Arabidopsis thaliana: one gene and its partner. The protein of the gene in region 1 interacts with the protein of each later gene in a pairwise test. Each region holds a gene or a part of one and is shown on either strand. Other genes may lie near its edges. The genes, in order: TRB1 and AT2G17540.

Region 1 (5,711 bases):
AACAAAAATGCCGCCCATTTCGAGAATAGAATTTTGAATTTTATTTTTTGACACGTCACCGATTGTAATGTGTGAAATGTTTAACGTTAACAGCCCAAAATTTAACCCAAGATTTTAAAATTTTGGTTTAGTAACAGCCTGAAATGTTTTTGGTTAAAGCTTAACCATGATGTAATTACCGTGCTCCGTGAACAATTTTGGATTGACTCGGTTTGGTTCTAATCCTATGTTGGCTATGCAGTGACTGTGAGTGGCATAGTATTATTTTCTTTACAGAATCACAATTATAGTAAAAATACCATGGTCTTTTTATTTTTAATATCAATGATTACAAATTATTTTAGTATGTCAAATTTCGGATGATTATATATATATCTGTCAATCACCTAATAATCCCAACTACATATATAATCGGGAGAAATTGTTAGGAATGCCCTTTCAAACTACTCCTTTTCAATTCTATCATTTTTTGTAATTTATTTTCATTTATCCCATCTTTTGATTTTTTATGGTCATTTTACTCTTATTTGAAAATATTTTAGGTTTAAAAAATATAATAATGATTTTTCCTATCAAAATTATTCCGAAGATAATTTTTCGACCAAAAAAATCCGACAAAAATTTTCCCGCCAAACTTTTTTTTCTTCCAAAAGATCATTTTCCCCAGAAAAAATAATTTTAATAGAAAATAGATTTACAAGAGTTTTTAAAAGATTTACAGGGGATTTAAAAGGATTTAATTCCTTTTCTGAACCCGAAAACGATCCATATAGTGTCCCAAAGTCATTGTGCTTTTATATCTTAAAAAAACAGTACTACTATTAATTGATAATACATACATAATCAAAATGCTCATTGGCGATAAGCATGATAGTGCATAGATAGATCGGTCTATAAATTATACACATTACTAACGATAGTTGTATGTATATTGGAGAGTGAGAAGAGCCAAATAAAACATTTTTTCCCAAAAGTTGTGCAGGAATCAAAAGAGTCAGAGCGACGACATACTGACAAACATATTTGATTGCTTACTACTAAAAAACAACTTCCCAAGTAAAGAGAATGATCAACACAAACACTAGGCTTCTCTCTACTCTCTCTTCACATTTAGTCTCCTTCTTCTCTCGCTTTCCATTACCTCAGGCACGGATCATCTGTCGAATCACATTTTCAACAAAAGCATTTTGAGATTTTCAAAGTTCTCTCATAGATATAATGTCTTGTGATATAAAAGAATATGGGTGTTTTTTTCTTTTTTTTACCATTTTGCAGATGTTTCTTCCTTTCAATGTCTTTGAAGCTTCCTCAGCGAAAGCTTGAGCTGCTTCTGCTTCGGCTTCTGCTGCCTCCGCTTCCTTTGCAGCTTCCTCAGCCTCTGCCATGGCAGCTTCTGCCTCTGCTACTGCCTGTGCTGCAACTGCTGCCGCCTCATGTACGTTCATACTCTTCATTCTGGCTATCTCTGTATCAATCTGTGACCTTGTCTGAAAATTCACTTCATCTATGTCTGTTTTAGGTGAAGGCAAAGAAGAAGTCCTCTGTTTTCCTCCAAACACCCCCAGACCTTTTCTCCTGTGGGAAGACAAGGGAGTGGAGTTTGGAATTCTGTACTTACGTTTAACCTGTAAAAGAGAAAGCCCAGATCAATAAACCTCGCAAGTTGCAGTGAATAATGGATATGTCTCTGTTCTACTGACATCCATGAACTAAATTGATTTGCACAAAAAGTCATACATACTATTCAAAAGACCAAAAATATATGCACTCAAAAGCATTAAATGAATGTAGGAATTCTTACCTTCACAAGTTTCCCGCAAGATGTCAAGTACTTTAGCTTGGTAGACAACAAGCGTTTGAAGTCTGGTGGAGCATGATATTGATCCTACACAAAAAAAAAAAAGGAACACGGGTACAGTCAGTCCTCTAAATCAGTCTTTTACAAGGAACTTAGACAAAGAATCTTCAAAGCAGTAATCGTACAAGTTGAACTCAATATTTCCCATGCTTGAATCACATAAGTAGACGAAAATATTTATGTCATTGGCGTGTTTCTGAATTAACTACAGAATCTACTCTTACGATATTCTCATAATTATATCGACTTAAGTAGATGCCACCACAATAAATCTCGTAATTACAGAAATATTTCTAGCCCTTTCAGCTTAGTTTCAGTCAGGATATTCAATGCACATTCGTCTATTCAGGAGAGGAGAAGATAAAGATGTCACCCATTGCCTTGCAATAAAACTGCCACATCCGTTGCCTATATTGATATTGAGGAATATATTCTATTGACACAACCAAAGGCTATATTTTGGTTTTCATCCGCAATGCTTCACAGGTTCTAGTTGACAACATATCAACCCACTGAGGATCATTCAAATTGAAATGTAACACGATGCGATTTAGCTGAGAGTAACAATTTAATAATACATATTGTCTATGAGAAAAGAAAAAAAAGATGCAAGAACGAAAACAGAATACCTCAATGTAGGCACCAATTGTTGTTTTGTTACAGCCACCAGGTTCTTTCAGGGTAGCTATTGCTTCCATTATAAGGCTATCCAACCTGCAACGTTTTTAAAAGTTACAATTTGTCTATAATAAAAGATTTGAGTGATACAAACATCTACGTGTAAGTGGGACTTTACAAATCCTCATCATAATTTCACAATTATAAAGCCACAGTGATAGGATTGAGCAAACGGCTCGCATGATAATAGTAAGAAGGAGGAGAAATGTACTAAGCCAGTGAAGACAACTTAAACAGAGGTGTGAAAACAAACCCATATCACATGAATGTAATCCAACACTTATCGACTTGCACAGAATAAAAAGTGACGGCAAACCATACATTTTGAGATGTAATCCAACTTCAGAAATACCAGCGAGAGAGATACAACAAAGCAACTCCTCTTCAATACAAGAAACAAAATAGACACATTTCTAACCTTACATTAGGTCTCCTTGGAGGAGGATTAGAAGAAACTTGGAGTCCAGAGGTCGCATCCACATTTTCTTCATCACTTTGCAAAGAATTGGTTAGGGCTAGTGAGTTCTCTTCCTGTTTAGGAAGGGAGAACGTCCTTTTAACAGCTAACCTAGACTTTTCGCGCGATCCCCAGCCATTTGCCATGACACTCATGTTTCTCCATTTGTCCTGTCCCAATACAATAAACAAACCATCTCCCAGTCAGATAAAATCACAAACAAAATACAGTAGCATTATCAAAGCTGACAAAAAGGATAAGAAGTAATCATGACCTTAAGATCAACATTGGAACGCAGGTACAAGACTCCGCTAAATTCAGGATCTTTGAGAATTGTGCGCCATTTACCAGGTCCATGCTTTATAACTCCAGACTTTAAAGCTGACTCTTCTTCTTGAGTCCATTTCTGCTTAGGAGCACCCATCCCGATTTACGGTCTGCTGTGTCAAAGCAAGTCCGTTCTGCAACAATACATATCAAATGTCACGAAACCAATCAGAACTAAAGTTTCTACATAAAAATGTAAACTTTTTCTTCAGTTGTAGCTCACAATTCATCATCAAATACCACAGAATAGTAAAACCCTAATTCCCTGTTCCGAGGAAACCCTAACATAGATTATCAAACTATACCGCAGCAATAGTTCAGAAACTAAGACGCAATAGCAAACACCAACTTCACATCACTGAAAGATGCCGAAACTCAAACCCTAGAAAAATCCGTTCTTTCAGAATGAAGCCTAATCTCATGCTGAGAATATACACAATCGAGAAAGAAGAAACAGATGAATTCACCAGGAATCAGAGTTTAGAGGAAGAAGAATCGATCATTCGCAATACCAATTTTTGTTTAATCTCTGGATTCAGATTTCGAGACGCTTGGGAAGCAGAAAAAGTTAGGGTTAATGCGAATACAAGGATTCAGAGTAACGGACCTCCGTCAATTCTGATGCGGCAAACCGCTTAGACCAATTAAGCTTTAAACGCGTTTTTTCACAAACGGCCTTAAAACGCGTTTTTTACAAACGGCCTTAAAACGCGTTTTTGTTTACGCTAGTTATTATATTCTGAAGATTATAAATTGTCTAAATATTTACAAATTCAACTTTTAATAATGATAAAGAAAATATCAAATTCCCCAAATGAAGTGTTAATATGATTGTCAAGAAAATATATTATCAAAACTAATACGCAGTGACCCAGATCATATTTACACGAACAATTTGGTTTATGTTTGAAAGTTTTGGTGGTGATTAAAAATTTGATGATTAAGTGGTATTTTGAACATAAAATACAAATATGTTGCTAGATATAATTCAGAAATGTGTGGTGGGGTGGTAGTTGTGATATTTTTTTTCAAAAATGCTATTTTCATTTTATCCATAGAATTTTCTCTATTGTTTATTTTTTCTGAAAATTATCTAGTTGACTGTACCACTAATTAAAAAAAAATTGTGGACATGGTAGTTGCGATATTTTGAGAGTTTTCCAAATCTATACACTTGTTTTAAACACATTAAAAAGTTTTATAATTTATTTATTTTTGAATTTCTCCAAAATTTGAAATATAAAGATCATTTCGTAAAAAAAAGAAAAGTTCGTTGAACATAGTTTTAGTTGATTTGTTTTACTAGGTTTATTTTCTGCAGATGTTCAGTAAAAAGAAAGAACCTTCTCTAATTTCACCTAGATATTTATGATTTTATAATACAAACTAATTTCATATTTGGGTTTAAATTAATAATTGTCCAAATAATTTCAAATTACAGTCAAAATAAAACATTAGCAATTAGTTCCATCCAAAATAAATTATTAAATTACCAAATTAACATTTTTAGCTCATGAGCCCAAAATTATTTATGATATGAAATATGTACTTGATAATAATTCAAGTCAGCAACAATAATTCATCAAATTTATTTCAAAATAAACCTCCTTAAATCTTTCTGGATTTTTTAACTGATAATCCTATTGTTTTATCTTATTTTCATTAAGCCAACAATAAGTCATACCAATTAGTCATTAGTTATAATTCTTGATATTGGTTAAAGAGAATGTTTAAGTGGTGGATGGAGTTAGTTGTATACTTTTTTGGCATTAAGATGAGAATAATTTGCTACTTATAAAGACTTTGTAATATTAAACATCATATTCTTCACATGAATATACAAGTGGACAATTCTGGTTAAGTCACACCAGTGGTTTAATCCGGTTCATTTTTCTACGTATAGCATTAGTGTTAATTACGTGCACGAGAACACAAGACAGAAAGTAAAAAAAGCAAGAAAGAGTCAACAAAGTTGCCCGCCTAACGATTACTTAGCACTTTTGAATCCGTTTTAAGCAAAGCCTTAGTTTGAATTTACAGCTCTCATCACAAAGAGAGTAGCCCTTCTCGAAGCGAGTGAGATATGGCAACAAAGACCGATGATTTTGCACCATTTCCAGTTAAAGATCAGCTTCCCGGAGTCGAATTTTGTGTCTCGAGCTCTCCAAATTGGCGTATGCTTTTTTCTTTTCATTTAGATTTTGTTATATAGTTGTGTTCTATTAGCAGTAAAATTATGTTTAGTCTTTAGGATAATGAATTTATGTTTCACCGATAGTGATGAACTATACGATTTAGTTTAAATTAGGGTTGTATTTCTTATTAATCTACAAAACTCGTTTTTAAAGCGTTTGTGATTATTTAACAAAAATTTCAGTTGAAGCGTTTCCA
Region 2 (3,929 bases), on another chromosome or scaffold:
ACAGTATAATCCAACGAGATAGATATCTCAAGGTTTTGTATAGGGCCGGTTTTAAAATTTAGGGTCCCAAACTAAAAAAGTTTTACAGGAAATTTTTTTTATAGACAAGTTTTAGGAAATAAAAGCAAATTTAAAAACTTTCAGAAATTGGGGGCTTATACTGGGGCTTTTATAATATTGGGTACATTTTGGGCCATAAATTAGAGAAAGAGCACATTATGATTGGGCTTATGAAGATAGGCAGTTTTTGGGAAATGAATTGACCAAATTGCCCCTGCGATTTCACTCCTTCTTCTCCTAAATTGTTTTTGCAGAATCTTCTCTGAATTGTTTTTGCAGAGCCTCATATTGGATCGATTCCTAACCTGCTTCAATGGATGATGTATTAAGTACAGAGATTGATTATCCTATTTCTCTACTTAATCAATGTTTCTTTGTACAAGACAATATATACACAAAAGATGTATTTACGGAAACAAAATCGATAGAGACAAAAATTAGAAAATCTGTTAACAACGTTTCATCACCATACAATTCAGATAAACCCCAATAAAATCAGTTAAAAGCTTTTTGATGGAAGAAAGCTAAACCCTAAGAAGATATTATATAGGGAACCCAAATATACTAATCTTAAATAATTGGAGTCGATTAAAATTTTCAATTGTTTCTTATCCCTCTTTGAAATTGAAGCAAGAGAGGATGAAATTAATTCAGATCAAACAATTCAAATTCAAAAAAGCTATGGAAGATTACCACCTGCATCGTCGAGGAAGAAGATTGGCCAAGCATAGATCTGAATTTTGTAAGGTGATGGAGAAGCAATGGACATCAATGGTGAGTTTAGAGGCAATAGATTCCATGCCATTAGAGAAAGAGAAAGAGAGAGAAATAATCGCACATTTCTGAGATCGATTGATATTGATGAATTCTCCTCAATTAGATTGAAGGTACAAGGAGAAGAAACTCAATTAGATTGAAGGATAAAACAGTCATCCATATAATATAAAAGTACCTAAATTTGTAAGAAACATGAGATGTTCCTATATCTACAAAAGCACAGACTTTAATATGCTAATCCCATAAATGATCCGGCTTATAGTTGCCAAGAAAAAGAAGAAGTTGCAGGCTTGTTTGTATATATTTTTGCTGATGGGCCTAAAACAATTAGAGACTAATGAAGCGTATGAAAATGAATTGTAAAACTCAGAGGCAAGTGGAAGAGTGGGAGTTCATTCATTATACGCTCATGGAGCTTACTATAGATAGAGAGCATTTCTTGAGTCGGCCAACACAAATCAGACTTCTTCCAATAAATTATGGTGGTTTACTTCATCAGAAAAATTCTCTTGCAGGATTGTTGACGTCAAGTTTTCGAACCATCGATCCTTTCTTGTGGTAAGCAGACTCCTTTTTGTTTTTTTTGATAAAGAAAAATGGTTGAGTTTATGATAGTTTGTGCTTCCTCTTGAAACACTTTTGCTACCAAATGTGCCATGAACTTGCCAAAAAGGCCTCCAGTACATCTATGAAGTCATTTTTTTAATTTCTACAAATAGAAAGTCTACATCTGTAATACTACTGTTAACTTATTAATTAGCTCCGTTAAGAAATAAAAAAACAACAAAAAAACAAAGAGTTATTGACGGCCGTTATTACAGTTTAGTAATAAAACGAAAAGCAAATAGTAGTTGTCAAGTTAATTTTCTGGTTTACTTTTCCATGGAAAAGGTAAATGTAAAAGAAAGAAACGTAAGTTAATTTAGATAGAAGTAAAAAAATAACAATTAAGAGATAATTAAAACTGATATTCGTAGGGTTTACATATAAAAACGAAAAACGGATCAGAGAGAGCGATGGCAACAATACAAAACAAATCTCCTCTCTTCTCTATCTTCTTCCCCATTTCTCTGAAAACCCTAATTTCTCCATCTCTCAATCTCTCTGTGTTTGTATCTCTCATCTCTGTTTGAGAGATGATAAGGTAACTTCAAAGCATCCTCGTGAATTCATCTTGTAATTTCAGGTACTCTATAAGGAACTCTCTAGCTTGATTCTTAAACTCTGAGCAATTGTCTTTGATCAATCACCACCTTATAATTGATAAATTCTCTCCTTTATGATTTTTATGAGAATTTGTTTGATCAAGTGTTGATAATTTGGTTTTAAGGATTAAATATTTTGATCTGTGATGTTTTTGAGGATTTGGTCTTTGTTTGAAGTATTGATTGTTACAGATTCTATAATGTGATCCTGATTTAGGATTTTAATTCGAGATAAATGGCGACAAATGCGTGCCTTGAGTCCGATTCGCTTCTACCTCCACGGAAGCGTTTACTCGCCGGATTCAAGAACCAGAACTCGAGAATCAGCAATGAATCTCCGAGTCCTCCTTTCGCTTCTTCGTCCTCGTCTACTACAACTTCAAATGGTTCCTCTGCTTCAGCAGTTGTGCACACTCATCATCTCGACCATCTACTCAATGACCAGACTCGGTCCCCGGAAGAGCTTGCTCAGGCGTCGAAAGCAACCGCTGCTTTAGCGGTTAAGGTTGCAAAGGCGGCGAGAGCTACTGCTAATGAGAAGGCCATCATTGCTTCTAAAGCAGTGGCTGCAGCCAAGAATGCGTTGGAATTGTTTGCTTCTTTTCCCGCAGCTGAGACGGTTTCTTGTAAAGAGCCTAGGTTGATTCGAGCTATAAACAATTCTCCTAGAGTCTTGACGGATTGTTCTGGTCACAGAAACAAGAAGCAAAAGACTCTGACTAGTACTATGAACGATGGGAATGATGTTGCTGGTGTTGTGGATTCAGATGACGGAACCAGAGTAAACGGGAAGCTGCTCTTATGCGATAACACGCTAAAGGAGAAAACAGAGGAAGAGAGTAGCTCATTAGGGAAAAGAAGAGGAAGAGTGAAGCTCCCTTTGAGCATGTGTGCCTACAAGGATCAAGAAAACGGTATCACATTAGAGGAAAACAATCTAAGTGTAAGTAAGTCGGAAGGTTATAATGGTGGTGTGGCTCAGGTTATAGAACGACCATCATGGAAGTGTCAGGACTTAAAGTCACCGGAATGTGTGAAGCAGAACAAAGTTGTACGTTCATAGTCTTCTTATATGTATTTACACCTAAAAGAGGTAAGAAGGTGCAGATTCAACAGCATTGTCATTTTCAGTACAATCTTAATGTTGTTTATTTTTATCTTGTTTTGCTTTTTTGGGTAATGTGTTTGATTTTATGTTGTATATTTTGGGAATAATATCTAGATACATAGATTTTGTATATGTATGTTGGTTGTTTAATCAGTGTAAGTGTTGTTATTAAAGTGATGACTTTTTGTTGTTTGCCTTTATGTTTCTTTTGTTTTAAGTCATTTTTCTCCCAGTGCTAAGACTAATTTATCTTCGAAAATACTTGTGTTCTTTCTTTGTGTTGTTTAAATAAAAATAATAATTTCAATAAGATCTATATTAATTTCAAGAAGAGAATTTTCACTAATTACAATAACAAAAAGTTTTTTTTTTGATTTTTGATTGTGTGGCTACAACTGGGTCACGTGCAGATTCACGTGAATATTCGTAGTTGGAGGAGATATAACGTCACAATTTTTTTCCTTTTGCAAATGTCTAAAGACAAAGCAACCCACAACAAAAATGATCCGTCACCGTCACGTTCACATGTGAAGTGAAACCCATCTTGCCATTTAGATTGTTTAGATAATTACATTTTTGTTAGTGTTAATCCTTGGGTGTCAATAAGATGATGATATCTATTGGTTCATGATTTTGTTTTGTAGTGATTCATAAATCTTATATCTATTGGTTATTGGTAGACTTGTTATTGAAAGTGAAGAAATCTTCCAAATTAAACAGCCGTTTATGTGATTTAAAAGAAACAGAATTTTCGTATTCATTCAGGTTCTTTGAGGTCT

The links.
Region 2: the proteins of TRB1 (region 1) and AT2G17540 interact in a two-hybrid assay, tested with the Arabidopsis thaliana proteins (one large-scale study listed by BioGRID).

What each region holds. Positions count from the first base shown.
Region 1 is NC_003070.9:18,493,297-18,499,007, forward strand, and holds TRB1 (telomere repeat binding factor 1), read right to left. Parts: upstream 4,023-5,711; 5' UTR 3,833-4,022; exon of another isoform or gene 3,626-3,832; intron 3,455-3,625; 5' UTR 3,418-3,454; coding exon 3,268-3,417; intron 3,164-3,267; coding exon 2,955-3,163; intron 2,573-2,954; coding exon 2,488-2,572; intron 1,886-2,487; coding exon 1,802-1,885; intron 1,626-1,801; coding exon 1,266-1,625; intron 1,158-1,265; coding exon 1,143-1,157; 3' UTR 775-1,142; downstream 1-774. Other genes in the region: AT1G49960 (Xanthine/uracil permease family protein), read left to right, coding at 5,404-5,494. UniProt on the Arabidopsis thaliana protein: Binds preferentially double-stranded telomeric repeats.
Region 2 is NC_003071.7:7,629,838-7,633,766, reverse strand, and holds AT2G17540 (uncharacterized protein), read left to right. Parts: upstream 1-1,840; 5' UTR 1,841-2,023; intron 2,024-2,219; exon of another isoform or gene 2,220-2,234; 5' UTR 2,235-2,277; coding exon 2,278-3,105; 3' UTR 3,106-3,406; downstream 3,407-3,929.